4 linked regions of the Drosophila melanogaster genome follow. The protein of the gene in region 1 purifies or fractionates together with the protein of each later gene. This does not show direct contact. Each region holds a gene or a part of one and is shown in the gene's direction. Other genes may lie near its edges. The genes, in order: Myb, Rbf, mip40 and CycA.

Region 1 (7,127 bases):
GCATTGATACATATTCGGCAGCCAGGCTGTTCACACTGCGGACGGAGAGAGCCGGCAAATATACCAACTTGTCTTTATTTATTCAAAGTTTATTTGTCAAAAGACGTTATATTTTAAAAACATATTTTATTTTATATAAACAATGTGGTACCCCTTTCTTTTGAACCGAATATAGTATTAAGCACGCCCCCTCACATGAAAGTAAAATAACTACAACATATATAAATATATAAATATGTCATATAAATATACCATTTTCTTATTTCAACTCCTTTTTTAATATTAATTCATAAAAATATAAAAAATAAAGATCTATTATCGCTCTGAAGTGTAATGTTCCCACTTGATTTTTTCCTGTGCAACCCTTAAGACGTATCTTCGACCGAAATAATGAAAACGATCACTGCAAAAACGTAAACAATGAAAAAATCGGTCTCAAAACAACAAAAATATTTCAAAATAGTTAAAAGTCCCGTTCATATATCGATAACTTTATATCGATAAGATTAATCACAAATGAATCACCTCATGAAAAAAGGCTTAAAATTTTTTCCATGAAAAGGACATTCGAGCTTTTTCGGCAATGTCTCTTATGAATTGCATTCATTTTTAATTTTTATATCTATCCCATAGTATTTCCACCACATGTCTGATTTCTAAACGTGCTCAAAAGCATTTAAGATTTCTCCAAACGCAGTCACACTATTGCTATCGTTTATATTAACTTATTGTTTATATTGTACTTATTGTTTATGAAGCATGTTCAAGCTAGTTTTTAAGCAGTACAAGTGCAAAAGTACCAGTCCTGATTTAACGGAAGTTGTTAAGATCGATGATTGTGTAGTCAAGGGGAATGATCAAGAAAAGAGTGATAATGTAAGTACTCGATCCGTTGCAATTGAATTATGATTTCTACATTCCCCTCAGAATATTGTTCAACGATTAAGTATCAGCAATGTAGAAAGCCTACAGACAATGCCAGGCGTTAAATCGCCAAAAGATTGGCGAACCTATACATTAACTAACCATCCCGGCATTATTGTGATTCGGAATCCATTCTCGGAACGAGGCCGGCGTTATTGGAGCGCCCGATGTCTGCGGGATTTTCCGCGAACGCCAAATATAGTCAATTTAAATGAAAGGCTCTTCGATGAATCCGTCAGGTCGGACTGGTGGAAACAGCTTAATCTGTGCAGCGATGGCGTTGAGTTCCAACGTATAAAATCCGCGATGCGTTGGACGACATTTGGATATCATCACAACTGGGACACGAAGATCTATGATGAGGAGATGCAGTCGCCGTTTCCCGAAGATTTGAGCAGTCTATGCGGATTGTTTGCGCAAGCGTTGGGATACGCGGATTTTAAGCCAGAAGCCGCAATTGTAAATTACTATCCAGTTGGTAGTACGTTATCGGGTCACACAGATCACTCTGAACCAAACAAATCGGCCCCTTTGTTTTCTTTTAGGTAATATATCACGGATTAAACATATCCGTGCAGCTAATTTTTTTTTAATTTTATGCTTACAGTTTTGGTCAGACTGCAATATTTCTAATTGGTGGAAGATCTTTAGAAGAAAAGCCAACCGCTATCTACCTTCAATCCGGGGACGTTATGATAATGTCCGGAGAATCGCGTCTATGCTATCACGCAGTTCCTCGTATCATCAAAACTCAGGCTTCCGCGACTTTATCACTGATAATTGAAGATGTCGATAATGCAGATATTAAAACGCGTACAATTGATAAAGATTTATTTCATGATGTTGGCAACCCTCAATTTTGGGAGCCTTTTTCGAGATATATGGACGATTCACGTATTAATATTAATATACGTCAAGTTTTAAATCCAGGAGATGTTAAGCTTTAACCCCTCCTTGGAAAAATTTTTAATTTTATAGTATTTTACAAAATAAAAAACTGCATTTCAATTGAAAACTAAAGAAACATAGCAATTAACGTTGAAGTGATGCGTTCAATGGAAATATCTTAAATGTATAGGTGAAGTTAATAGTTTTATAAATATATTTTTCAGTCCCTATAAATGCTACTGACAACTAAATTTGGCAATTCTGACAAAATTATTTTATCCGATGGCAACTTTTTAACAATATTTCCAAGAAGTTGATAGCTAAATATCGATACTATCCCAGCTATCGTACAAGATATTGACTTCTAGTGGAAACGTGCCGATTACCGTAGTGATTATTTATCGATAGATTTTAATCGTTTTGAATTACAACGCTAGTGCTCGTGTAACGGTCACACTAAGTACTACATTTAATATAATAAGATGCGACGCCGTAAAATTCCAGTGTGAAAACGTGAATGAACTGATCAAAAACACCAAAGTGTGTACCCATAGCCCAGCAGTTTGAATTTGAAATAACGGTAGCACCACTTTAGATGAAGACAAATGTGCGAGTGGTAATTTTTTTCCCCCGTTTTCCTCAGTGCTAAATATAGAGCATCAAAATGTTTGGCATAAACGTAATATCGTAAAACTTGCATCTGCTTTTTAGTTCGCTGCCTGAATGAGTATGTCCACAAATATCTGTAATCTTCAAGTAACAAAGAACACGAATCCAAACCAAAATCGCCTCGAGGAGCAGCAAACAAAACTATTCGATTTTGGGCGGACCGAGAGCGATGCGACGCACCCAATATTGCGCAGCGATCATCAACGTGAACTGGTCGACTGCCTGACGTGCGGAAATCAATTCAAGTGTAACTCGTACAGCGACATTTGCTCGCACTACATATTCTACCATCCGCATATTCTGGATCATTTGCCCAAGTGCTTGTACTGCAAACGCGACGTTCATCGTTTCCAGCGTGGGAACAAGTCAGAGCCGGAGATCTATCACTTTTGTTCGCCCCGCAAGCAGCGTTAAAGAACCCATACACATATATACAAAGAGCGCCATTATTCATATATATATACCTATAAAGTTGATCTTAAGATGGCAAGTGCGAGCACTGAAAACGGCGAGGAGCTGATGAATTACGGCAGCAATTCGGATTCGGAGGAGTCCGAGTACTCGGAGAACGAGGATACCCAAGTTTGCGACAAGGATTCACAACAGAACAGCAATGCCGATTCGGGCTATCCACTGGACTCGCCCGAACTACAGGACTCCAAGACGACGGGGCAAAAGGGACAGAACAAAAGCGGTAAAACTAGCATCGGTGCAGTGCATCCGAACTATGGATTCGGCAAACGCTGGTCCAAGTCCGAGGATGTGTTGCTCAAGCAGCTGGTGGAGACGCACGGTGAGAACTGGGAGATTATCGGACCGCATTTCAAGGATCGCCTGGAACAGCAAGTGCAGCAGCGTTGGGCCAAAGTCCTCAATCCGGAGCTAATCAAGGGCCCGTGGACGCGGGACGAGGACGACATGGTTATTAAGCTGGTGCGCAACTTCGGGCCCAAGAAATGGACACTAATTGCACGATATCTGAACGGACGAATTGGGAAACAGTGCCGCGAGAGATGGCACAACCACCTCAATCCGAATATCAAGAAAACGGCCTGGACCGAAAAGGAGGACGAGATTATCTACCAGGCTCACTTGGAGCTGGGCAACCAGTGGGCAAAGATTGCCAAACGTCTGCCCGGACGCACCGATAACGCCATTAAAAACCATTGGAATTCAACAATGCGTCGCAAATATGACGTCGAACGCAGATCGGTTAATGCATCTGGTAGCGATTTGAAGAGTTCGCGAACCCATCTCATCACGCTGATCAAGTCCGGTGGCATCAGCAAGTGTATGAATAATATGCAACATAACAAGGAATCTGGTGGTGAGGCAGTTAATAAATCCGAAAACGCCGATGGCGCTTCGGTTACTGCCGTGAAAGGTGGTGATCTGGCACAGGAATCACAAGACGATCATCAAAAGGGATCCAATCTGGCACACCTCAGTATGCAGCATCTCATTAAGTTGACCATGCCGCGCCAAACACCGATCATATTGAAGCGTACACGCAAACACATTCCCGAAACTCACCATCAGGCAGGATGTTCATCAAGTGAGACATTCAACCAGGAAGAAGCCGCCGGAAACGCCAGGTCGCGACCACCGAGTTCGCCCGTCATATCGCCCATTAAGTCGCTACCCTTTTCACCGAGTCACTTCCTCAAGTCGCCTTGCCTGACCACCTTTGAAGATATGGATCTGCGGGCTAGCACGCCGGTAACCAAGGTCTATAATCGCGTTGGAATGGAGATCAAAAAGGAAATGGAGACATCGTCGATAGAAACTCCACACAAGAGTAAGTACAAGCCACTGTTGGCTTCAAATGCATCTTGAATACACACAATCATCGTTATTTGTAGGTCAACTTGGACCACGAACACCAACGCCCTTCAAAAAGGCACTTGCTGCCATCGGCAAGAAGAGGGACGGTCGTCGATACGAGCCCTCCAGCCCATCCAGTCTGGTGGAGGATCTGGCCGAAATCATCCATGAAGAGCATCTGAGCAACTCGCTGACCGCAAACAATTCCAAAATGATGGGCGCCGCCGATCAGAACTCAACGCTAAGCACCGAATACAATGCTCAGTCGCCGCCGCATATGAAACGTGCCAGGAAGTCATTGCTCTCAACTTGGAGCTCCAATCATCCATACAACGCTGGCTCCGCCAAGAGGATTCAACCCTTCGAAACCGAGACGCCCAGCAAGTTTCTCACATCGCCGGGCGATATTTTGAAGGACACGCTGTGCAGCGAACAGGACCTGCCGTTCGACGAGGGCAGAAAGGAGAATCGACCATTCCATAATCGCAGAATTAACAAGTACCGCGGTGGCTTGACCTACGATCATGTCATTGATCCCAAGTGGGCACGCGTCGCTTGTGGCAAGTCCAGAGATCAAATGTTTATGGAGGAGCAGGCTTATGCGTGCCTCAAAAATCTGTCCTGTATTTCGCGCTCCCTGAACTTCGAGAAACAAAAGTGTTTGGTGAATTCGTTCGACCGCTTTGGTTCGCTCTAAATTCTATGTGGCTATATTCAGGTATTACAAACAAAATTCTATACGCATCATCTTTATAATATTGTAGATATGAATCCCCAAATTTTCATCCAAATTGTGTTTTCGAAATAGAATTTATTGTGCTACATTTATGGCATTATTGGTTACATCCACCTTAAATTGTATCCCATTTTTTTCGGATATTTCATAAATAAATAAATGCTTAAAGTGAATGAAGCGTGTTTTAACACAAAGGACTTACATATATATATCGTTTTTTTTTGGCTTTGTAGGTTACAGAAGAGAGATATATTTATTCAAAAATATATCTATTATATTACAGAGAATATTTTGATAGACATTTGCCAAACCTTCGATTTCTAACTTTGTTCGTCTGCAATATGTTTATTGAATATGTCCAGATATTTTGGCACTAGTTCTTTCGCCGAAAAACGATCGAAATTAAAGTTCTCAAAGAATTGATCGCGCTGCTTGCGAAAGACCCTCGGCATTCTACAAAAGTTGTAGAGCTTCTTCGTCAGCGCATTGGAGGTGTTGTAGAGGTTTTCCTTTGGGTAGATTTCCGGGTAGACCAATTTGTTGGGCGCAATGGGATAACAGCCGCAGAAAGCGGCCTCCAGCATTGCTACTCCAAAAAACTCATGGTCGGCAGTTGATATCACAATGTCCCCAGTCAGCAGGGTCTTCAAGTACTCTTCACGCTCCAGATGGCCAAAGTTCACCAGCTTGCTGCCCAGTTTCTCCTGTATATGCTCGAATTCCTCCGGTATCTCCTGGTAACTCTCGCCACAAATAGTCACCTTGAAGTCCACTTGTCGCTCATGGAGCTGACAGAGCGTATCCACCAGTAGTTTGGGATTCTTATCGTGCTCCCAGCGATGTGGCCAAATAAGATGGATGCACTTCTCATCCAGATCCTCAGCAGTCTCCCCCTTTACGCACTCCTTCCGAATGGGAAACCGTTCGAAATTGACGGGAAAGTACAGCACTTGGCATTTCTTCTCGATTTGCTCGCGAATATGCTTGATTTTAAAGTCTGGCTGCATATTCAGAAAGGGCTGAACATTATCCAAAAACGAGTTGCAGTTGAATTGGGAATTGAAGAGCACCATGTCTGCGGCAAGACTGAAAATGGATGGGTTATGGATGCAAGTTGGGTATACAGGATGGTCACCTACCAGGAGAGTATCTCATTGAAACCGTATTGACAATCGCGCTGCTTCACCTCGCGCACCGGATAGATCAGCTGGTTCTCGTGGAAGTAGACGATCTTCCGGCAAGCGGCCAGATCCGGACGCAGACCAATCAGCTCGGCCAGGCTGAGCACGGAGCTGGCGAAAAGCACCCGGAATGCGTGATCGCGCGGAATCAGCTGGGCGAAGTGGAGGGCAGAGGTGCGTGCTCGCCAGTGCCATTTCTTGGCGGGAAGGCTGAATATCTCGCTGTCGCCATGGTTGAGACCTACAAATTGGATGATAAGTTGGAGTGAAGTTTGTATGTCTAGTTGTAATATTCTAAGTATGTATATATGTGTACCCTCGATCAGTGCGCCGATCAGCTGTTTGTGACTGCCCCCGTAAAACGGTTCAATAATCAAAATATGCGGCTTTGCGCACGACATGATAGACGGTCTTGGTGTGTGACCAGAGTGAGTGACAATTACCAAATATATTAATTATTTTAAATGTTGTTTATTTTTGAATTGATCACTACACAATTTATAAAACATTTATTTAACATAATTAGGCTAATTAAATTACCCCAATTGGTTTAAAATAAACAATGAAGGGTGTTGTTTTTATCAGCTGTTTGAATGCACAACCTGTGCAATGCGAAAATATACCGACCAGTGGAGAACGCCTCGAATTGGCTGTTCACGTCACTCGCACGCTGGTCACACCGATTTTGTAAATGCAAAAATTGAGTATGTATAAGTATTTACCATCGTGTCGTTATAGGAAAATTAAAAATTGTGTCATCTCGGACCAAGATAAATGTTGAAAAGCAAACCAAAGTGAATCATAGGTATATTGTAGATAAAATCTTTTCTGACTGCTGATTATGCCAACAATCGAAGCTGAAAACTTAGCGCACGGGAAAAAAAAATCAAACGCGAAAGTGCTTT
Region 2 (8,689 bases), about 15 Mb from region 1:
TGTATATTATGAATTGAAGCCCTGCAAGCGAATGCGAATAACCATTCCCATTTCTGCTCATACCGAAGAATGCTAAGATATACACAAGTTTGTGATCAAAGCGGGAAAGCTTATGACATTATTTAAAATGCTTGTACTGTGATCTTAAATCGAATGCATTTCAATTAACTCTGAGCCCATCGAGGACTGCGGTCAACCTATTTTCTCATCGTGTGATCGGATCACCCGCAGCGGAATGCGTGCGCTTCCGTTTTGCTCGGCTTGGCCTCCTTCCTCGTTCCGTTGAAAGCAGGTATGTATATATAAGCCACTGCTCCACCTAGAGGCTCCACAATACAAAGTCAGTCATGGCCGGGTCAGTTCGTGCGACGCTCCTGGGTCTCCTCATGCAGATCCTGTGCAATGGGCTGGCTGGTCAGCAGCTGCTCCTCACACGTCCCCAAAGGAGCCTGTTCGAGACTCCGCTGGGTCACGTAGAGCAAGTGGAACAAGTGCCCTCTTTAGGCTGGAATAGTGTTGGTAGTGGACTCGGAGTGGGCGAGTGGCCCTACAGCCCCGTTGGTCTCGGCCACATGAGCAAGGATGAGCTGCTGACCCTGCTGGAGGCCTGGAAGGAGGTCGAGGAGGAATCGGCCACAACAACGACTGCGTCGCCAGCGGATGCCAGCACACGTAGACCTCCTCCGCCTCCACTGCCACCACCACCACCTCCTCCGCCACGACCCACACCCATACCAGTCTCCGTTGCAATCCCGTCACCGGCTGTTCCGCCCTCCGGCACTCCCATTACAGTGCGGCTCCCAGCCTTTGTGCCTGTGCGTCTGGCTGCCGTGTTTACTCCGCTTGCCGGTGGACAAGCTGATAGTGCTGTTCCGTCTGCCAACGGAGTCGGAGGGGCTGGAGGAGATGATTTGTCCACCGATGACGTGACAGATGATGACGGCGTCTCTACCCGGCTCTTTCGCTTTTTGCCCATGCCAGGAGCTCGAACGAGACCGCAATCCAATTCACAGCCCAGGCAGCAATTTGTGGTGAGGAACACCCTGGACAGCGTGGATGCGGGCACTGCCCCTGTCAGGCAGCAGATTAAACCGGAAGTCCAGCCCAAGGCGACTGCTCCGCCTTCCATTCCCAAGTTCCCTGGCCACCCAACTCCCTTCTTCCGTCCCAGGTAAGCAGAAACGAAAGCGCTAGAGGTGGTCATCTGGGCAGCCGGCTCATTTCCCTCCATTTTTGCTCTAGATTTGGTGTGCCACCGAGTCTGGCCAACGCTCGATTCGAGCTGGTGCCCTCTTCCCAAATCATCGGCGACTGGCGGGTGTGAGCCTGTGCATCACTTGACTGACCAAAACGGAGTACCTTCCGGCGAACCAACCAGGATCGAGCTTTTGAAGGAGGCTGTCTTGCTAGGCTGTTTCCACTGTTGCTTATGTATTTTATTTTTTATTGAATAATAATTTTTTTTTTTTTTTTTGTGTCCAAATAGAATATGCAATCAGTCATAGATTAGCGACATACTAACTGCTTTCGAATTGAAGTAGGCACTTTTTCTGCTCCAATGGCCATGTGAAGCCATATATGTACATCTATTTGTATGTCCTCTGAAATCGCTCAGCTTTTAAAACAAAGAGCAGTCTGAAGAGTACATATAAAGATAGCGATCAGCCCGAGTATTTAGCCATAACAATTTATAGTATTTTTCGAATCCTAAGATTGGAATATTCAGTTCAATCGAATATGTATGCAGTTTCCCCTCACACAGTTTTATAAGTTGGCCTGAAGTTTTTGTACAAAAAAATATAAATTTTATATTTAGAAATGAAATGCTCTGCATCTTTTAATGCCCTCTGCGACGTGGGAACGCCGCGTCCGAACTTGCAGCGGTTAATTCCCTATGTCGAGCCGCAACAGGACGACGAGGAGGATATGGTAGTGTGGTGCCGGTCAAATCTGGATTTGGCCTGCTCGCTCAGCGAGATGCGCATACGCTGTCCAGAGCACTTCGATGTCGCAACCGTCGTGGGGGTAAATTCGCATACCGGAAAACTAATCACCCACTTTAATCACCGGAAACTGGGGGATGTGGACCTGGCGCCTCACGCGTTGCTTAGCCGGCGAGACAAGTTCATGGACATTTGCCAGAAACAAGTAATGACGAGTCAGGGCTGCTTGGCGTCAGAGGGAACACCAATCCCCGCCGACCTGGAGGTCACTTGGCAGAGTCATAGCATCATTGACTGCCTTGCTCTCCGCAAGGTGCGTGCAGAGATGAATTTAGCTGATCAGAAGGCGGCCAAGAATCTTGTGGATCGCGTTGAGGTGCACCACAAGACTTTGCAGACGGAGGAGGCGGAGCGAAGGAAATTGATTATTGACAAGGCAAATTCTGCGAGGAACTTGACTATTGACAAGGCAAACTCTGCGAGGATCTTGGCTATTGACAAGGCAACCTCCGCTAGGAAATTGACTATTGACAACTCAACCTCCGCGGGGACATTGACTATAGACAAGGCAACCAACGCGAGGAAATTGACTATTGACAAGGGAACCTCCGCGAGGAAATTGACTATTGACAAGGCAACCTCCGCGAGGAAATTGACTATTGACAAGGCAACCTCCGCGAGGAAAATGACTATTGACAAGGCAAAATCCACGAGGAACTTGACCATTGACAATGCAACCTCCGCGAGGAAATTGACTATTGAGAAGGCAACCTCCGCGAGGAAAATGACTATTGACAAGGCAAAATCCACGAGGAACTTGACCATTGACAATGCAACCTCCGCGAGGAAATTGACTATTGAGAAGGCAACCTCCGCGAGACGTTTCTCTAGACCAAAAAGATATGTCAGCGGGTATATTTCCAAAAGAAAATCGATCGGAAAAACGGAGTCTTTGTCGCGCGGTGCATACATCCCCGATCCTGAGCTCAACCGCGCGATAGCCAAGTACGGTGTGTCTGCTAGTCAACCGTTCAAAAGACAGCATTGCCTTGTGCTGGAGAAGCATCCCGACAGAACCCAGATCCCGAACTCCAGAACCAACACCAGTGGCTGTAAGTCCGACGGCTCTTCAACACCCATTTGGAGAAGTGCTAGAACTGGTGCGGATCAGAATACGCAGGCAGAGAGTTCTGACTCTTTCAATTCCTCCAATTCCTTCGAGAGCTCCAGTCTGGCCAGCGATTCTCAAGAAAACCACGAGCTGTCCACGGCGGCAGGTCTGACGGCGGCCTTTATGCGGCGACACATGCTATTCCACCTCCTGGCCAGGAGGTTCAGAAGACGGTATCTACGTTAGCCACGTCGTAGCTCGGGTCGTATGTGCTGCGACAGCAAGTTCTCTAAATTGTATAGTGTATATGTATGTATGTTAGTAGCTGAATCGCGAAGAATTCCCGCGAATTTCCATAAAGTTCAAAGCAGTATTTAAATTTGCGGCTATCGATTACAACTAGCTATATCGCCGATGTGCAATGCTCTTGAACGCTAACCAACACTGTCAGTTTACCGCACACATGCAAATAGCATTGTGCATTGCAAATAAATTATATGTGTACACATATTTTTGTCAATTATTTCGTTCTAATTCATTTTAGGGTCCCCCAATTTAGGTATGTATGCAACACGACATACTGCTTGCAGTCACTGCATAACTCGCCAAGCACTGTAGTAATACCACCCCACCACGTTTAAACTGGCCGAATGCGCGCGTCGGTGTGACCGCATGGCTTTGCTGGCGAAATACCGGCCGCCCAACTAAAAATCCATTAACTTGTATTAACGTGTCAGACTCTGACTATGCAATCGCAATTGCAAAATCTTTAAGTAGTGGCAATAAATTAGTTTTCCTTCTGCACAAGTCCATCCCTAGGGCCACATCGTCCGCGCAGCCCTAGAAGTGGATAGTTCGAACGCGGAGTGGATCACACGCACCTGCCCGCCGCAACTAGTCAAGTTTCCCGCGTTTTCCATGGCGATTAAGTTGTGAAATAGTTATTTTGTTAATGTGTTTTAACCAACAACCGTGGCCGTGGTGTGGTCCTGGCTAATCGCAGCATCCCAGCGCTGTTTGTTCTGTCCCCTCGCCTGCTCTTTTGTTGTGTTCCTCAGAAAAGGGTGTATCGCGAACACACACACACGCGACAAACACTCGCACACAAACACACACGCCCAAATCATTTCGGCGGGAAACTTCATTATTTCTGTAATTAAGTGTAAGCTCTCGCAGTTACATGTCCGCGAGGAGCGCGGCGGCAAGCGCAGCATACACCGGCAGCCACTAGGCGCCAGGCCACTAGACGTAAACAGCGGCGCCAGGCCCGCAACGCCCCGGTTAGCCGGCTAGCTCCAATTCAGGCGCCTCCGTCTCCGATTTCCGACTCCAGGCTGTCGCCAGAAGCAGCGGCCGCCGCTGCAAGCATACGCAATCAGCCGGGACAGAGACATCATTCGCAGACATGAGCGAGCCTGACCCGCAGGAACTGGGAGCTGAGGTGGTCAGCGGATTGGTGGCGACCAGCGACGACCGCCTGGAGATGATCAACGCCGAGTACACGAACCTATGCCGGGATCTAAACATGGATCGGCAGACAGAGCTGCAGGGCTACGAGACGTACTTAGAGGTGTCCCAGAGGTGCTCCATGGAGGTGAGCTTCGAAGTGGCAGCAGTAGCCTCCAACCTAACGTCCTTTCTTTCATTCTTTCTGTGCATTGCCTGCCTAAAAGGGCACAGCCAGCCACTGGATGTGCTGCGCCATTTACACGGCCTGCCGAAGAACCAGCACACCCACGGTGACTGGCCAGAATGCAGTGGTCAAGGGTAATTGTGTGTCCTTAAACAATTTGCTGCGCTGCTGCAAGATGAGGTGGGTTGCCGTTTATGCCTGCAGTTTCACACCTAACCATTTCCACAATCCCCACCCACAGCATCTACGAGTTCAAGACCAAAATTAAGCAGTGGTGCGACATGGCCAACCTGCCTCAGGAGTTTGTCAACGAGATTGAGGATCTGGACCGCAAGTTCAGCATTACATTCATGCTGCACAAGCGTTTCCGCATTATTATGGACATGATCTTCTCGTGCCCGCCCAACGAGAAGAAGCACTCCAAGTACATGTGCGTATATCATCATGTCAGCCTGACCCCGTGTATATAAAAAGCTTCCCTCTTTGGAACAGTTCTCTGCATGGCAACCACGCCCACGGAAAGTGCTCGTACATCAAGCTGGACGACATCTGCTGGCGCCTGTTTCTCTGCGCCAAGAACCAGAAGCCGAGCAACACCGTGGACCTGGTGACATCCTACAATCTGATGATTTGCTGCATAGACCTGATATACAACAATGTGCTGGCCGAGAAGCGCACCGATCTCATCAACCCCAAATTCGAGGGCCTGCCGAGCAACTGGACGGAGCTGGACTTTCGTCACAATCCGCACTGCATTTTGTCCAACTTCTGTGACATGACCGAGGAGGCTAAAGCCATGAAGGCCACCACTTTCCGCCAGATCATGTCGAGCTTCTTTCAGGCTTCGGTAGGAGTGCCGTTTCGGATTTCCATTAAAACAATTAATTTGTTCTATTTTCATTTCGACCAGACCATCTACGGCAACAAGGACACTATGTTAGGCCTATTGGCTAACGAAAACTTCGAGCGCAACCTAAAGTCCCTCAACATCAGCTACGAGCAGTACGTCCTCAGCGTCGGCGAATTCGACGAACGCATTCTGAGTGCCTACGATGCGGGGGAACACACTGCCCTCAACGACCAGTCCCTGCGTCCGCCGGTTACTCCGCTTACCCGCAAGCAAGATCTGCCTGCGCAGCCCGCGATGGCTGGCGATAAATTTGAGCCCGTCCGCAACGCCACTAACAACGTGAAGCAGCTGAGCGCCTTCGGACGGATCACAGAACCCACGGACTTTGTCAAGTGAGTTGCCGGCTGGCCTTGTATTTGGGTTGGGTGTCGAGTGTTCCTAACTATCATTCAAAACCTGTGAGAGAGAAAAGGCTTATCTCTATGTCCAAATGGCTGAAAGTCGTTGGCGTCGTGTAAACAAAACTCATGTTTATTTGATTGCTTTATAAATCGTAGGAAATATCGAATATCGAATTTCGTTAGCCGAAGCACACATCCATAGAAATTTCTGTTGATGTAAGAAGAATCGATTAGATTAAATCCGGGATTGATTTCTATAGCTCATGTTTTGATATCGCCCTGTCTTTATCCAGGCAAGCTGGCGAAGAGGTAATAGCCAAGCTGCTTAGCATCATCGAGGAGATCGAGCAGAAATTCCTCGCCAAGTACCCGTCAACGGAGGCGAAGAGTCGCTTCCAACTAGCGAAGTCCTTCTTCTTCTACCTGCTCGACCAGATCCTGCAGGCGGAAATTCGGAACAAGCCCGACATCGATCTCAAGCGACTGCTGGTGCAGAAGGTCTCCCTGGTCATCTTTAACATCACGCTGATGGCCTGCTGCGTGGAGCTGGTGCTGGAGGCCTACAAAACGGAGCTCAAGTTCCCGTGGGTGCTCGACTGTTTCAGTATTAGCGCGTTCGAGTTCCAAAAGATCATCGAGATCGTGGTGCGGCACGGCTCGCACGAAGGCTGTTTGAACCGGTCGCTGATAAAGCACCTTAACTCCATCGAGGAGACGTGTCTGGAGCGGCTGGCCTGGGCGAGGAACTCGACCGTCTGGGAAATGATCGCCTCCGCCCAACTGCCGTTGCCCACGTGGCTCATGGTTAACCTCGACCGCGCCGCCGGCCCCTTGCAGATATTCCTGCGCAAGGTGTACCTGCTTGGCTGGTTGCGCATCCAGAAGCTGTGCTCGGAGCTGTCACTGTGCGAGAAGACGCCCGAGAGCATCTGGCACATCTTTGAGCACTCGATCACCCACGAGACGGAATTGATGAAGGACCGCCACCTCGATCAAAATATTATGTGTGCAATATATATCTACATAAGAGTGAGTAGCACATCCACATTCTATCTCTGTCCGATTCGCTGGCATACATTTTGAAATGCACATAATCAGATGCATTCGTCCGTGTGCAGCTGAAGACCCACTTATAACATCCATGCAACTCCTTACAACCCGCAGGTAAAGCGAATGGAGGACCCCAAGTTCAGTGACATTATGCGGGCATATCGCAACCAGCCGCAGGCGGTGAACAGCGTCTACCGCGAGGTGTTCATCGACATCAACGAGGACGGGGAGCCAAAGGTGAAGGACATCATTCACTTTTACAACCACACTTACGTGCCGCTGATGCGGCAGTTCGTCATCGACTACCTAAACGTAACTCCGGACGTGAGTGGCCGGGCTTCGGATCTACAGCTCTCCCCGCATCCGAAGGAACGGGCCGCCCAGCCCAAGAAGGTAACCCAGAGCCACTCGCTGTTCGTGTCGCAGATGTCCAAGAACGAGATACAGCAGTCGCCCAACCAGATGGTCTACAGTTTTTGCCGCAGCCCCGCCAAGGTAAATATTTCGGAGTTGCGTCCACCTCCTCAGCTATAACATCGATTAATCCGCTTGCTATACCCGCAGGACCTTCAGGCTATGAACGAAAAGGTACGCGGCGGCAAGCGCATGCTGAGCTTTGGCGACGAGCCCGGACTAGGTACAATGGCAGAGACGAAGCGCTCGAAAATCAGCCAGGTCAAGGCCGTCATGGACGACCCTGAACTGCAGTCAGCCGAGCAGCAGACTGCTGTTACCACGGAAGGTTGCGTAGGGGGCGAAGGAGGAGAACACGAGACATAGACACGGGGCTTATGGGGGCAGACTAGACTTAAGGCAAGAACTAAAAATTCGGCGCAGAAGGCCACACACTGGCCCCTCCGGCGCACGTTCGACTATTTTATGATTGTTTTTTTTTAAATATTAAAACTTAAATTGACATTTTAACTTAATTTCAACAAACTATTTTAGCACATCTTTTAATTTTGCTCAACGCCAGCCAACCATATAATTCATATGCTAACCCAATACTTTGAAATAGTTGTACTAAATACTTGATCACCACACACACACACATCCATCGGTCGCGACTCCCCGCGATTTAAAAATCACTAACAAAAAAACAAATCAAATTAATGCAATCCACATTATATATAAAAGCTTATATACAAATATACTTTTTACAAATTGATGTTAATTGTATTTATTTAAACATTTTCGTAGTCGATCTACGTCGTCGTACAAAGGATGGGATGTTTAAAATCGTAATTTCTCTGGTCGAAATTGCCACCTTTACAAGTTTCAGGCACCAGGCGAACAGAAACAGTAACAGGTGCTAGCTGGCCGCTCAAATTAACTAAAACAGCTGATCCTTTTCAAGATGGCTGCGCCTTACGCTTTTCCAGTCAGCCCATTCGACCAATAGGAAGCCAAAGATGGGGAGAAACCGTTAGTTACTTTATGATGTCTGCCCTATGTGGCAATTTTTGTTTGCCTGGTGTTCAGCCACTGAGAATTCACAAATTTTTGACAAAATTTACGACGGGGCAACATTTTTCGCAGACAACTGTCGGGTCCCAGACACTAGGCCAACAGAATCCCTAGCAAGCTGCAGCTGGCAGCCCTTTCGATCTTTCCAGTTACCAATTGACCAATAGGAAAGCAGCACAACCGTTAATTCGGAACAGAGCGCACACCAGTGATGAGCAGCCGAGTTGTTCTTGA
Region 3 (5,018 bases), on another chromosome or scaffold:
GAGGGGCAATGGAACTTAGCGATCGCTATGGAAAATCAAAGTGGAACACCTCGCCTGTCTCCTCTGAAATAATAACTAATACACGGTATTCATTTATCGATGTTGGAGGCTTGTGATGAACCCTCCAATCGCCGCAATTTGCCTTTTCAAATTTGTGAAAATAATCGAAGCGGAGTTATTTTTAGTCGATGTCCAAATCCAACCAGGTGTGCTGCGGTTGCCCACGTTATCGCGCGACATTTGTGTCTCTTCGCAACAGGGGACATACATATGTACACACACATATACTATATATTTTCCTGAACTCGTCCCTTCCCGAAGCTAAATATCAACAAAATTGCTGGCGATAAGATAGATTTAAATTGATGGGAAAGTTTTCATTGAGATCGCAGGAATACACCGTACAGTAGTTACTCAAGTAGGTTAAACACTTAGATGTAAGATTCTTAAGTTTTGCTGATACAGTATTTGAATAGAAGGACCAACGTTATGAAAATGAGTCTATACGTATTAATCTATTATGTCAGAAGAGCGTTTCAGCTCTGTCATATCAGCATGACATTCAAAAAAGCTGTACTCTGTGCATGGAGTAAGGCAGTTATTAATGCGTGGAATAAGCACACAATCGAACGTGATTTACATAAACAAAAGGATTTATTTAGTTTCACCCATATAAACAAAAGGATTTCTAAGTCAGCTTTTAAGTTTCATTTGATTTGCATATTTGGTACATAAAAACTCAATTTTTCAAACGAAATTTTGTGGAACTCCAACAATTTTTTCTTTAAAACATACATAGTTGCTCACTATCTTGAGAATTTAAAATTTATAAAGTAATTAAATTTTTAGTTCGTGATAAACATACATAAATTAGAAGTCGCTTTAAACGTCATTTAAATCGCGTTTTAATTTATGACGTCTTTTGGAGACTTGTATTTATTAATATATTGCGAGATAAAGGGTAATTTTGGTGTTATAGCTGAAAATATTTAACAGCCTTGTCGCTCAAAAGCAGAGTTAACGCTTAAATACGGAAGAAGAATTCAGATAATCACAAACAGATGAGGGTTTCTCTCTCTGCTTTATATTTGCACTCTCAACTGCTGAAATGCCGGGAAATTCCCGCAATTACAAGAAAACCGCCACATAAACAAAGTCACAAAACGAAACAGCAACAATGATCAACACTTAAAAAAATAAATAAAATGTTTCTTGTTTGTTTTACCAAAACTTTTTATTTCCGAAAGTTACAAAACTAAGCTGCTAGTATAAATATTATAAAAGTTTCACAATTGGCAATATAATGCGGTAATGCGGAGCTCTTGAATAAAACTTGCGTTTTTCTTACAGTGCATAACAAGTGCAAAAACTTGTGAACTTGTTTTCTTAATACGAAACCAAACCGAAGCAAAAACAACGTACAGAGAGCGCTTATTGTTATTGATAGTGGGAGAAAATCTAAAAGCACACATAGCAAATCAATATTTGCACTTTGCGATTAGAAGCGCTTGGAGGGGGTTGAGTGGGCGGTGGGTGGGTGGTGGTCGGGGGATGTACCCGAACGATTCGTTTACATATTTCGAAAAGACGGCCATTTCGAGGGAGTTTCAGCCGTTATCAATAGGCGGAAATACGTATACGCATGTACGAATGGGTAATACAGTTACGTGCAGTCTTGCACAGACACACGAACACCAATGTGCAGTGCGAGTGCGAAAGAGACACGTAATGGCTGTGTTAACGGCACAAGATAAAAACCAGCTACAGCCAGCGTGGGTGCGAGCGAGAGGGAGGGAGAGAGCGCAAGAGAGAGAGAGAGAGAGAGCAAAAAACAGGTGACATTGGCAGCTACGCAATAGTAGATAAAAAATATCCATACATATATAAAAACAACCGAGATCGATTGAAAATGTGAAACGTTGGGAAACTTGGTATGGCCCCTCCCCCTTAAAAAACGCATTCACAACTTGTTGCCCGTTTGGAAATGTGTTTATTTATTGCTTTTATTTGGTGCACTAGGTGATCTGCATGTGTGCGAGTTGTTTTTCACAATTTGTTATTTGCACACAGAGCAGATCCACCCACACCTGTGCACTTCCCAATTGTATGTGGATGTGTGCGTGAGCAGAAGAAGCAAAATCCACAGATTTACAATTTGCATCCTTACCGAATAAGTTAAATTCTTGACTTTTCCAATGTTCCTTTGTTGCTCCGCTCTTTTTGTCGTTTGTTCTTTGACATTCAAATTGTGATTTCGATATTTTGGTGCTTTTCAATCTGAATCTTTTCCACTTTTGCCCCTTCGATTTCCTCGTTGGCTTTGTTTTCGTTTTTCTTTTCTCACACACTCACAACTACACACACAGTTCACGCAAAAGCTCCGCTTTGTTTTAATTTAGTTATTTATTTTATTTTTCGCAGTAAACTTAATTAAATGTATTTTTCACGTCGCTCTTTTCGCGATCACAAAACAGCAGTGTGACCATAAAAGGTGGGTTGAAAAGCCCGAAAGGTTTTGGGTTAAAATTACCAAATCGAGAAATACCAAATTTTTAAGACTTTCATTTCCTTGTTTTTTTTTTTTTAATCTACAAAAGTATTAATTTAACAATCAAAGTCTATTAAATATTTTTGAATAGTCAAATATTAATGTGTATTAAGTTTTTGTTTAAAAATATATATGTTATTCTTTTTTCTTTTCATTTAAGCTACAAATAATTCAAAGAATTATTTCTCAAGCTAGCGTTAGGCGCCAAGACCGTTTGTTTTCTTTAATTTATGGTATTTTTTGAAATACCACTGACTTATGTAGTGTTGCGTGGCGAAGTGGTGTTTCAGTGTTGTGAAGCGCCGTAAGTCCGTTTGATTTCCGATTCGGCATTCGAAATTGTTTTCCCTTAATTTTCGTGTCGAATACAAGATTTCTGGAAATGAAGACTGTGCCGAAAAAGAAGGAAACGGCCCTGCGCTTGCGGGAGTCGCGCCGTGAGGAGCAGAAACCAGAGACGACAAACCTGCCGCCGGACGACGACGCAGAGTCGGATTTGCCCATTCGGGGCCGTCCCTCGAAGAAGCTGCTCATCCAGCAGCAACAGCAGCGTCAGTACCAGGTAAAGCTAGATCCGAAAGTCAAGACGGTCACGTCGGGCTCTAGCGAGAAGCCTTCGACATCCTCGAGTGCAGCCGCAGCCGGCGCCGGAGGACGCATCAAGGCCAGGAGAGTGCTCTACAAGAAGAGCGTTGGAGCAGCGGCAGTCGCCCAGAAGGCGCCCGGCGAGACCTACGTAATGCGCCTGTTTGAGCGAAGTTTGGACCTGTCCAAATACCAGGATAAGACTCCTTTGTACCCCATATGCCGCGCATGGATGGCAAATCAACCCAAGAATCCAGCTGTGGGTGCATTTCAAACAGATGCTTCACTCACGGCCACCAAACGTGAGGACAACGGCGAAGAAATCCTGTCCCAAATTAAAAGCGGCGAGATAAAGGTGATCAACCAGCTCCCGCAGGCCAAGTCCACGGATCTGCCCATAATTCCGCCTCGTCTGGAGTTCAGCCAGGAGGACAAGAAGCGGGAAAAGGCTCTCCAAGGTGCCAGTACCTCCGATCTTCTGTCCTCCAATATGAACCGCTGGAAGAAAGTGCGCGGACACTGGATAAAGCATATCAAGAAGTATGAAAAGGAGCGATATGAAGTTATTGACAAGATTATGAGCTTGGTCTGCAAAAACTGAAGCGTATCTAGGTGATTTTGGAAGTGGTATAGAAAATGAAAAATAATTTGGATTAATTGTGCACAAAGAATTAAAAAAAATCCTGTTTCCAAATCGAATATATATGCAAATAAGATGCTTGTACACTTTATATACTTATATAAAATAAAATCAAATTTGTCAAGTAGACCACTTCAAGTCTATCAAGAGAATGATAAAGCGTTTTTATATTTGCATATTTTCCTGATTAAAAAATAATATGAAATGCATTTGTATTGCAGCACGGAAAGGCAACCGCAGCTGATTTGATTGGATTATCCCAAGATTTTTGATAAGAAAGACATTTGTCATTGACTTGAATAAATGTTTATTTGTATTGGTAGAAGATGCGTTCCCTTTGCGGTTAAATTAGTTCTAGTTTAGAGCTGTGTATGAAGTTATCATTATTATTTTGGGTTGGCAAATGCTGCTGGATTGTTCTGGTTCCGATTATGATGTTCTTCGGCTCGTCGCCGGTGCGCCGGTCCGCAACCCCCTGCGATTTGGTTTGGGGTATACACATTGGGCATCCTGTGCGCCTATTCGACCTTGAGCAGCTCGACGTCGAAGGTGAGGGTGGAGTTGGGCGGAATGACGCCGGGGTGGCCACGGCTACCGTAGGCATAGTCCGGCGAGCAAATCAGCTTGGCGCGCTGGCCGACGCTCAACTGGGCAACTCCCTCATCCCAGCCACGGATGACCTCGCCCTTGCCGATGGTGAACTTGAATGGCTTGTTGCGGTCGCGCGACGAATCGAACTGCGTGGAATTCAAGGCGGATCATTAGCTGGGGATGGCGAGGATCGGGATTCGTACTCACCTTGGTGCCATCGTCCAGGGTGCCGGTGTAGTGGACCGTGACCTTTTGGCCATTCTTGGGATAGGTGCTGCCTGCGGGCGGGGAATGCAAAAATGGATGTGTGTGAGCGGGACGACCATATTGTCGCAGGTATTTCCGAATTGTGCATTGCGAAAATGCACTAAATAGGTTAGAAAGGCCGGTAGTTTACGGCATTTCTTGCGGATTCTAACCCAATCATTGGATACTCACCATCACCAGGAGCAATTGGAACTACTTGTACGCCCATTTCGATTAGTTTTTTTCTGGCAAATTACCGAGCGGAAAATAAGCACGTTGATTTCAGTTCGTCGCGTCGCCGAATGACAGCTAGCGGTGGGCGATGGTCGGTGAGCGGAAACTATCGCACACATCAATTTGATTAATTATCAAAACCAATTGCTTTCCGAGTTATCGATAAGGACGTTT
Region 4 (9,817 bases), on another chromosome or scaffold:
TTGTCGGAGAGCACGTGATCAGCTATGAGTCGCCATTGGATCCGCATTCTGGGCACGATCAGCATTTGTGGATATTGCGCGACTACTGCCCAAACCTGCGACACCTCAAAATGTCTTTTCGACGCCCCCGATGGAACCCTTTGTTGAAATTGAAGAGTCTAACATCGTTACATGCTAGCCTGCACTTCACGGATGAAGGTCTTTATAAGGATTTTATAATCAGCCTAAGCGATTTGCCGCACCTGAAGAAATTGAAATTGGAGGCGACATCCTACACGGGCGACGGACTACGTGCCCTAGATAAATTGGAGTACCTGGAGATTGGCAACCAGCGTGGATTTGATGCGAGCATTTTGGCCTCGTGCTGTATGACAATGAAGAAGTTGTGCCACCTTAACATGGGTGAAAACACCGCCAATCTCGAAGCGGAAGACTTTCGGGTAATTGTGAGAAGGGGAAAAAATCTGGAAAGTCTCGCCTTTTCGTTAATACTTTTGGAAGGAAATGTACCCTACGATACTGTCCACCAGCTTCCCAAATTGAAACACTTGCAGTTGTGGTATCGGGACAATAAATTTATCTCGAAAAGTTTCATCGAGAAACTCATTCAAAAACCGGGCACTCCGTTGGAAAGTCTAATTTTGATGGGAAATACCCTGAAACTGGAAGAAGTAGATGCTATCTGCGAGATATCTTCACTTCGGGAGCTGTTTGTCTCATGCAAAACAGATGCAGCAAGAAGTTTTCTACGTCTAAAGCATTTAGAAATCTTGGACGTGAAAATGTTATATGTTAGCAACGATGAGTTGCTTGCGCTTCTGGAAGAATGTGCTCTTTTAAACGTACTTAGTGTCCGGTTTGCCAGGGAAATCACCTTTGAATTTGTGTTAAAAGCTTTAAGTTTGTACAGTCACAGAAAAATTAAAATCTATTTGCACGAATCATCTGTTGATTGGAGCCTTAATCTTCCGGTTCCGAAGGGCAAGAGGAACATTCAGTTCATTAACGGCTATTTAAAGAGTCCCATATTGATGAACAAAGATACTAATGAATTAGATTAATTACAAACGAACAGCATTTTTTGTTAGTTAATAAAAAAACGTTTGACTTTCGCCAAATATTGCCTTACTATATTGGTAATTATTATTTGACCCTGTAAGGTATTTTATGTATATTTCCAGAGCTGCTGGGGCCAACGATATTATACAATTGTGTAACTGCTAGTCGGTTGTCCTGCTACCTGGTCTCCAGGACATCGAGATCGCAAAGGTCAGCATTTGTGTGCAGGATCAGAATGTTGGTTAGCTCATTGTGTTCGTACTTCTTTGGGTTCCTAACTGATTTAGTTTTTAGGCCGGCAGTTGCGAAATGTCTCGTGCAAAACAATGCAAAATCCGATACACCTTTTCTTTATTTTCTTAGGGAGGCGCAGCTGCTCTAGAAAACATACTCTTCCGTTCACAAAATAATCGTGGCAAGAGTCATACATACATACATGTATGTACAATGCTGAATTAAGTCAAAAACAATACATATTTAATAGTTATGACAAATATTTAAGCCACCACGTTATGTTGTTATATTCTTAAACTTAAAAGGGTTAAGAAATCAGGATACATATTTTTTAAGAAGATTAGAAATCAAAACAATTACCATAACTGTTAACAAATTCACCTATTATTTATTATAATGAATGTTATATTTGTATTTTCTATAAATATCTCACAGCCCCTCCCATTAGAAATTCATAGGGAAGACGTATGGCGTATTTCGTTATATCTTTCTAATCGTGAAAGTCATCCGAATTGATAAATATATATACTTTTGTATTTACACTAACATATTTTTTATAAATGGGTAGCATCGTTAGGCGTATTGAAAAGAAAAAGTTTCGCTTAACTTTTTTTGGGTTTTCCACTGACAGCCAAATAATAATAATCGCAGTAGCCGAAATAAAGCTCTTTAAAAAGTTAATTAGAGAGTTGCTGCTCTTAAATTTAACGCGGTGGTTGTTGTTAATTGTGTACTTTCTGTTGCATGCAGTTCATAATTTGTTCAAAACTTCGAGCGGCCACTTTGTTTGAAAGGACTTTCGAAAAGGGGAAAAGTTTTTTTTCCTGTTTCGATTTATTTCTGGGACAGAAACGATTTTTGGAGCCACTCGAGACCGAAAGTCCAAAAGCCTAGCCATTTTTTTTAATTGTAACCTAAACATTTTTCCAAGTGTCCTAATACGTCGATTATTTAAACATTTCATCAAAAACATTACGCTTTCTATTTAATTATATTTTGATAAACAGTTGTTTAATTGATTTTTGTCAAGTTCGCTTTGCAGTGAATTCTTAATCTTAATCAAAGCAACAGTAATAACAACTTAAGCGATTACCGTGGACATAATATATGGATTATATATATGGATATAATACATATATATTCGATTAACTTCAAAACAATGCTTACAAACCCATGAAGAACTTATTCCAAACCCTTTTTATAAACCTTTAATATGTATTATTGGTTTGATCTCTAAAGCTTAGAACTAAATAAATATGCACTCATTTTTAAAAACTATGCAAAAACAATGGACTTCGGCAAAAATAAAAATTAACGTTATACACATTTTTAAATTTTGCGCACTGCTGGAGTTGCCAGTCCTAAAAAACAAACTTCTGACATATATGGCCACACTGTCGGCAAATGTCGATAGACGCCACGACCTATCGATAGCTGGACAGTGTCATCTCTAACATTTACGACGTGTTGACCGGGAAAAAATCAAAAGAAGCCAGCAATTGCTTTTAAACCACGAACCGCTGAACAAGTACGGAGTTTGTAAAATACTTAATATTAGCTAAGTCCGTGCGAGCGTAGCCAAACAAGGAAACTAATTCCAACGCTGCCGTGACACAAACTTCCGTACGAAATTGAAAGTCAAATGAATTCTGTACAAAACTGTGTGTGTGCGTGTAATTCAAGCGTCAATTTGTCGATGATAAAATTTGCCTGCGCCTAATGTACACATGTCTGCGTCTTCGTTGAGCATATGAGCCTGTGAATGTGTGCGTATCGGTGTGAGCGTCGAGCATAAGAAAGCAGCACAAAACAACAACAACGGCAGCAGCAGTAACAACAACAGCAAGAAGGCAACGACGCTAAGAGAAAGAGAGAAGGAAGGGAAGAGCAGAGCATAATCGGACTCCATTTTACAAGGCGAAAAAAGGAGTAGGAAAGAGCGCACCATGGCCAGTTTCCAGATCCACCAAGACATGAGCAACAAGGAGAATCCGGGCATTAAGATTCCGGCCGGAGTGAAGAACACCAAGCAGCCGCTGGCCGTAATTGGGGGAAAAGCGGAGAAAAATGCGCTTGCGCCGCGGGCCAATTTCGCCGTGCTCAATGGCAACAACAATGTGCCGCGTCCGGCCGGGAAAGTTGTAAGTACCGTTGCCGATTTCCCGTACATCCAGTGCCTAATTCCAATGCAGCTGCCTTTTTATATTTTTATGGTGGTGGGATCGTCACACCACTGCGACCGTGCGCATGTGTGAGATCTCCTAGTGGTGGTGGTGGTTTTCTCTCCCTTACCTCTCCCCTACCATCCCATCCTTTTCACTTCTCCATCTTACGTTACTCTCTTCTTAGAACGACCAATGCACTTACTTGCGCCTAACCTAGAACCTTAACTAACCTAGAAAAAGACACAGGCCTTGCAATTACGCGCCTTTTTGATGATTTGCAACAACAAAGCGAAGCAAGGAGGGCAAAAGCAATTGCGACATGCAACGCACACATGCGTATAGGTGCACACATACACACACACACGAGCAATACGGGAAGCCAGGGAAAGGCGCGCAACTTAAAGTTGGATCGATTTATGGGGGGGGATAATCATTTTATTTCTTTTTTGCTTACTATATTAAGGATGCATATGTAAAAGGAATTATCTTTGTGTTTTTACTTTTATAATCCCACTGCAATATTACCTAATATAAAATTATTACCTAATATAGTAAGTTGACCATATTGTTGAATTTGTCTTCTTCGTCTTCTGTTCCTTCCAGCAGGTCTTCCGTGACGTCAGAAATCTTAATGTTGATGAGAATGTGGAGTACGGCGCCAAGAAATCGAATGTGGTGCCCGTGGTGGAGCAATTCAAGACCTTCTCCGTGTATGAGGACAACAACGATACCCAGGTTGCGCCATCCGGCAAATCCCTGGCCTCCCTAGTCGACAAAGAGAACCATGACGTGAAATTGTAAGTTTCCATCTGTCACTTGGTAAGCCGCAAACAAACTTTTGTTTGTTTTTTTTTTCACTCCATTCAGCGGTGCTGGGCAGAAGGAGCTGGTAGACTACGATCTGGATTCAACACCCATGTCCGTGACGGATGTTCAGTCCCCCATGTCCGTGGACCGCTCCATTCTCGGTGTCATACAGTCCAGTGATATCAGCGTGGGCACTGAAACGGGAGTCTCGCCAACTGGAAGAGTCAAGGAGCTTCCGCCGCGCAACGATCGCCAGCGGTTCCTGGAAGTGGTTCAGTACCAGATGGACATTCTGGAATATTTCCGGGAGAGCGAGGTAAGCTAAACCAGGGACATAAACATAGGCTTCAATATGATATTATTAGATGACTTCCTCACAAAAATATTTCAAACTCACAAACTCGCTTTCATCGCGTAATCATTGTCAAAGACAATGATATTTTTTAACTAGTAACTGAAGTGGACAACTTTTATCAGGTCGAGTTTTCCTTGATTATCTTCCAGGGTATTGCAGTCATGTTTTCTGGCATAAATTTGGAATTTTTTCCCAAGGTATCTTGCGTTTTCAATGTGTTACTACTTACTTGGCCATGTGCATTGTACTTTTCTGTGCAGACGCAGGCAGACGTAATTTCTTAGGGGAAGTCGGACCCTGTCGCACCCTCCGTTGGCATTCCCTTCACGCAACGCTGCCTCTTTATGGGTTCATGGGTACACTTATTCCCGCTCGCGGGCACATGTTTGTTGGGCGGGAAGCGAAACGCTTGTCTGTCTGCGTCCGTCTCATCCTTTGTCGTTGTTGTTGACTCTCTTTTTCTCATTCGTCCAAAGTCGTAGAACACTCGGGGTACCAATGGAATTCGACTTGCAGAGGGAGGTTGACTACTATTGTAGTTTGTTTCCTACGTTAGTAAATAAAAGATTAAAAATTAAAATAAGTTTAAAAACTAAAAAAAAAATTAAAACCAAAAAAGTTTTAAAATTGATAAAGAATTTAAAAAACTAGAAAACCAAAACAAATAAAAAAAATTTAAAAATATTTTAAAATCGATAGTTAAATTACAAAACTCGAAAACAACATTAAATAATACAAAACAACAACACAAGGATTAGGTTTTGTCCAGAATGGGCGTATTCTTTATTTTCCCTTGATATTTCAGTTTTTACTAGAGATGGGTTTTTGTCTTTTTTTTTTTTTAAATTTTTAAATATTTGAAATGCTTTGTTTCCAACATGAACATTATAATTTCGTCGTGAAGATTCCCAACAAAGATTGTATTTTTAAAATAGTACAATGTTCTGGACGCCTATGGAAAGTTGCTGCACAAGAAAGTGAGGCAGCTTTCTAATCGCATCCAGCTCATTATTCTCGAATCGTCTTGGTTGGGAACTTCAATACAATCCCACTAACGTGAGTTCTTGTTGAACTGATCGTAAAAGTCATCGGAGACGGCATTGGTTAGGCCCACAAGGGCTTCCTTGCGCTGGCGATCCTGCTCCACGGCCAACTTGGAATTCGCCCGCATCAGCTCATCGAATTCCGCCTTACGTCGGCGATCATCCTCGATTTGGTGAAGGACCAGGGTGCGGTCCATATTAATGGAGTATTGCTCCCACTGTTTGTCCATCATCTGGGCCTCCGTCTTGCGCTGAATAGACAAACGAAGCTGCTGATCTTGTCCAAGACGAAACACGCGAAGTTCTTCGGGCGTCATGCCGCGATACATGAAGGCAATCTTCTTGTTCGGATCGGTGCGCGATTGAGCCACATCCGGATTTTCAGTTAGCATATCGCTGGAGAGCATGTTATAGATCTCGGCCATGTCATCCTCGTACTTTTCACGCTTTTCCCTTTCGCGGTCCAATTGCTTCTGCTTGGCCATGTTGATATTGAACTGACGCACTCGCTGGATGACTTGGTTGCGCATCTGGTGATCAGACTTGGCCATCTCCTGCAGATGCTTGTCTCTGCAACCAACGTTGTCCATCAACACATTATCGGCCTGCTTGCGAGCATCCTCCGCCCTCTTACGCTCCTGCACTTGCTGATCCAGCCAGGCTCTTTGCTGCTCCCGCTGCCGCTGCTTTCTGTCAGAGTTATAGAGGTCCTCGCCTTGAAAGATCTGGGCACTGGACACGCCCAGCGAAATGTCATTGTCGGCGACTCTTGTTGGACGTGCCTTCTTCAAGAAATTCGGATCATTTAGGTCGAATTCGCGGCGCTGCTCCTTGCGCTGATAGCGGCAGCGATAATAGTTAAGATCCGAGTCCACCACACGCTGTTTTTTCTCCAACTCCATTTCCTGGGCCAGGATCAGACGCTTCTGCAGCTGCTCCTGTTCTTCAAATTTCTTGTCGCACTCCATCTGGGCGGTTCGCTGCTTCTTTTTCTCAAGTATTTGGCGATCCAGCATTTCTAGGTCGAGCTGTGAATAGGAATATTCGGCAATGAAGCTCACCCAGTCTGCAGATGCATACTTACCCCGTAAAGACGCTGTTTGGCATTAAAAATGCGCCGCTTCCGCTCATCTTCGTACTGCTCCCGCTTCTGCAGCTTCATCGCCTCGTCGAGATCCTGCTTGGTGCATATACCGATTTTGAGCGTCATTGTGCCGGAGTTAGTTATAAAAGATGTTCAACTGTATTCGAGGTCGATATGTCTGTCTCTTCTTGTTAGTAGGATGTGGATATATGCCTGAGTTGACTTTGTTTGCCCGGTTGCTGGGTGCTTTGTTTATTGTTTGCCTCTACTACTACCTCTGTAACCTACTAGTTACAGACTATTTACATATATCTATAATAATTTCATGGGAGTTAACTGCCTTAATATAAAACAAATGCTGATGTATGTACATATATTCATGTCAATCGAATTCTTTAATTTTTGCAGCTCGAGTCGCTTGACGGTTCCAATAATCGTTAAAGCGACCATAAAATAATCACCTAATGTACATATTGCCCATATATATGTACATATATGTAGGTGTTTGGCAAAGAAATTTAAGTTCGAACTGGGAATTTCGATGCGACTCACGTACTACGAAATAACCAATAAATAAATAAAAATCGGTTAACTCCCTCCCCCAGCTGTTGTTTGCCACTTCTCCTATGGTATTTATACGCTTGATTTGATGACTGTACGGCTTTTTCTCCCGTGAAATTTGTACATTTTTGACACCTTCTTAAGATGAAACTGGGAACGGGTAGTTGGTTGCCAGATTAGAGTGTAGAAAAGGCATAAGCTATATATATGCGAATCCTAACCTAAAGTATTAAAAGTTTGGCTTAGTAATTTTTGTTAGGCCGGGTAATCTAATCGGTTTCTAATCATTTGTTTGCATGTGTTTGCATCTTCCAGAAGAAACATCGCCCCAAGCCACTCTATATGCGCAGACAGAAGGACATTAGCCACAATATGCGCTCCATCCTTATTGATTGGCTGGTTGAGGTTTCCGAGGAGTACAAACTGGACACGGAGACGCTCTATCTCTCGGTCTTTTATCTAGATCGATTTTTGAGCCAAATGGCGGTGGTGCGCTCCAAGTTACAGCTGGTGGGCACGGCAGCTATGTATATTGCCGCGTAAGTATTCTTGATAGTCCGGTAATAATGGTGTGTGTATTCATGGGGTTTATTTTTTTATTTTTCAGAAAATACGAGGAAATCTATCCCCCAGAGGTCGGTGAGTTTGTCTTCCTCACCGACGACAGTTACACCAAGGCGCAGGTGCTACGCATGGAGCAGGTTATCTTGAAGATTCTCTCCTTCGATCTGTGCACACCGACTGCTTACGTCTTCATCAACACCTATGCTGTACTTTGCGACATGCCTGAGAAGCTGAAGTACATGACGCTGGTAAGCTATTGCCAATACAAAAGAAAAAAGAAACAAAGCCGAAACTTAACTTAATGTTTACCTGACACAGTATATTTCCGAGTTGTCGCTCATGGAGGGAGAAACGTACTTGCAATATTTGCCATCACTTATGTCATCCGCTTCAGTCGCACTGGCGCGTCACATTTTGGGCATGGAGATGTGGACGCCAAGGCTGGAGGAGATCACGACTTACAAGCTGGAGGACCTAAAAACGGTTGTGTTGCATCTGTGTCACACCCACAAAACGGCAAAGGAGCTCAACACGCAGGCCATGCGGGAAAAGTACAATAGAGACACGTAAGTCGCAAACACTAGATAGCCGAAGAATGAGCCCGTGTTGACCAAATGTATTTCTTAACAGTTACAAGAAGGTGGCTATGATGGAATCCGTTGAGATGAGCAAGGACGACTTCGATCAGCTCTGTGAGGCTTACAATTGCAAGCAGAAAGAGGATGAGCACCAGCAGCCGGATATTAATACTAAATCGAACGTGAATTTGTTTTATAAGTTTTAAGTGTTTTGAGCCGCTGTCATGGCCAAATTGTATATTAGTTTAGTGTTTCCATGTAACATTATGTAGTTTTAGTTATAAGTGTACACAATGGATCAATTGCAGTTCGGTCGCAGTCAGCCAGTCGTATAAAAGCTTCGCATTGGTTGGCCGATTGACAAGCTCCCGTTGCAAGTGCCGGACAATTTTATATGTAAGCCATATAAAAGATAGTTGCCAAAATATACGCGCTTAACAACATTCGCGTCTGTCCACGGTGAGAGCTTGTCATGCCAAGCGGGAGCAGTAAGAACTTCGGCAGTCTTAAAAACTATCCGATTAGCCAATTGAAATTGGAGGAAGCCACCGGACACAACATATTAGTGCTGCTTATGCTAACGATATTTTATATTTCAACCTCTTTATGTTAAGTATGTATGTTTTCGTGTTTATAAATTGAACCATACTAACGTATACAATGTGTCTAAAGCAGAAACAGCTAGCTTCGAGAATTATTTTACCATATTTATATATTACTATTTACTCCGTAAATGTTCTGTGAACTCCAAAACAAATATATACACAATTTTAACAAAAGACACCAACCGCCCAGCCAGGACGGAATAAAAAACTCACACTGATCGTGCTCAGAACGGCAGGCAGCCGTGGAATGTTGCTAAACTCTTGTTCTTGTAATCTTGTAATCTTATACGCTTACTAAATGTTTACTAAACTTAGTCTAGACCATCTTGCGACCACATATGTAGCTAGAATAGAGCGCTGCCGAAATGCGTACAGCCAGATGATGGGTCTTACTTTACACTTAGGTTTATGCTAACTAATCCATTTAGTTTGATAATTCCATTGACCATCGCATCGAGTGTTTTGTGCTCGCCAGCCGAATATTACCTAAATATCCAATATTAAGAATTCAATAAAACTTTGAAAGATGCAAGCAAAAGAGGTGGTTGTACTTGTACCATTATTTGTGTGTCACGTCGTTGGGTCAAACAAAATAAATAAATAAACCCAGAAGTAATATTCGTTATTTCAATTGTATACATTACATTTTTGAAAGAATTATTAACCATAGCCGCTCTAACCATTTGATTTTTTATAGCTGCGTCACAAGTACATGCGGGAGCTGGCCAAGGGAGACTCCGATTGGCAAAGAATGGTGGAGAT

What was found.
Region 2: the proteins of Myb (region 1) and Rbf purify together in Drosophila melanogaster (affinity purification with western blotting; 2 studies listed by BioGRID). This does not show direct contact.
Region 3: the proteins of Myb (region 1) and mip40 purify together in Drosophila melanogaster (affinity purification with western blotting; 5 studies listed by BioGRID, with this or other methods). This does not show direct contact.
Region 4: the proteins of Myb (region 1) and CycA purify together in Drosophila melanogaster (affinity purification with western blotting; one study listed by BioGRID). This does not show direct contact.

What each region holds. Positions count from the first base shown.
Region 1 is NC_004354.4:15,852,942-15,860,068, reverse strand, and holds Myb (Myb oncogene-like), read left to right. Parts: upstream 1-2,245; 5' UTR 2,246-2,392; exon of another isoform or gene 2,393-2,455; 5' UTR 2,456-2,541; coding exon of another isoform or gene 2,542-2,895; 5' UTR 2,896-2,964; coding exon 2,965-4,279; intron 4,280-4,343; coding exon 4,344-5,002; 3' UTR 5,003-5,237; downstream 5,238-7,127. Other genes in the region: AlkB, read left to right, coding at 760-876, 928-1,469, 1,532-1,871; CG46440 (uncharacterized protein), read left to right, coding at 2,542-2,895; CG15914 (uncharacterized protein), read right to left, coding at 5,362-6,127, 6,181-6,463, 6,539-6,623. UniProt on the Drosophila melanogaster protein: DNA-binding protein that specifically recognizes the sequence 5'-YAAC[GT]G-3'. Component of the DREAM complex, a multiprotein complex that can both act as a transcription activator or repressor depending on the context.
Region 2 is NC_004354.4:796,556-805,244, reverse strand, and holds Rbf (Retinoblastoma-family protein), read left to right. Parts: upstream 1-3,765; 5' UTR 3,766-4,459; coding exon 4,460-4,648; intron 4,649-4,727; coding exon 4,728-4,867; intron 4,868-4,928; coding exon 4,929-5,117; intron 5,118-5,179; coding exon 5,180-5,534; intron 5,535-5,597; coding exon 5,598-5,929; intron 5,930-6,231; coding exon 6,232-6,967; intron 6,968-7,102; coding exon 7,103-7,483; intron 7,484-7,552; coding exon 7,553-7,768; 3' UTR 7,769-8,155; downstream 8,156-8,689. Other genes in the region: CG13358 (uncharacterized protein), read left to right, coding at 348-1,171, 1,243-1,324; CG13359 (uncharacterized protein), read left to right, coding at 1,819-3,300.
Region 3 is NT_033778.4:19,290,010-19,295,027, reverse strand, and holds mip40 (Myb-interacting protein 40), read left to right. Parts: upstream 1-2,831; 5' UTR 2,832-2,930; coding exon 2,931-3,734; 3' UTR 3,735-3,923; downstream 3,924-5,018. Other genes in the region: Fkbp12 (FK506-binding protein 12kD), read right to left, coding at 4,292-4,510, 4,572-4,642, 4,803-4,839.
Region 4 is NT_037436.4:11,826,491-11,836,307, reverse strand, and holds CycA (cyclin A), read left to right. Parts: upstream 1-2,729; 5' UTR 2,730-3,239; coding exon 3,240-3,434; intron 3,435-4,061; coding exon 4,062-4,255; intron 4,256-4,325; coding exon 4,326-4,581; intron 4,582-5,463; exon of another isoform or gene 5,464-5,671; coding exon of another isoform or gene 5,672-6,691; intron 6,692-6,747; coding exon of another isoform or gene 6,748-6,873; exon of another isoform or gene 6,874-7,059; intron 7,060-7,118; exon of another isoform or gene 7,119-7,278; intron 7,279-7,623; coding exon 7,624-7,847; intron 7,848-7,915; coding exon 7,916-8,120; intron 8,121-8,190; coding exon 8,191-8,438; intron 8,439-8,502; coding exon 8,503-8,656; 3' UTR 8,657-9,225; downstream 9,226-9,817. Other genes in the region: CG43064 (uncharacterized protein), read left to right, coding at 1-1,061; CG7264 (uncharacterized protein), read right to left, coding at 5,672-6,691, 6,748-6,873. UniProt on the Drosophila melanogaster protein: Essential for the control of the cell cycle at the G2/M (mitosis) transition. Interacts with the Cdk1 and Cdk2 protein kinases to form MPF. G2/M cyclins accumulate steadily during G2 and are abruptly destroyed at mitosis.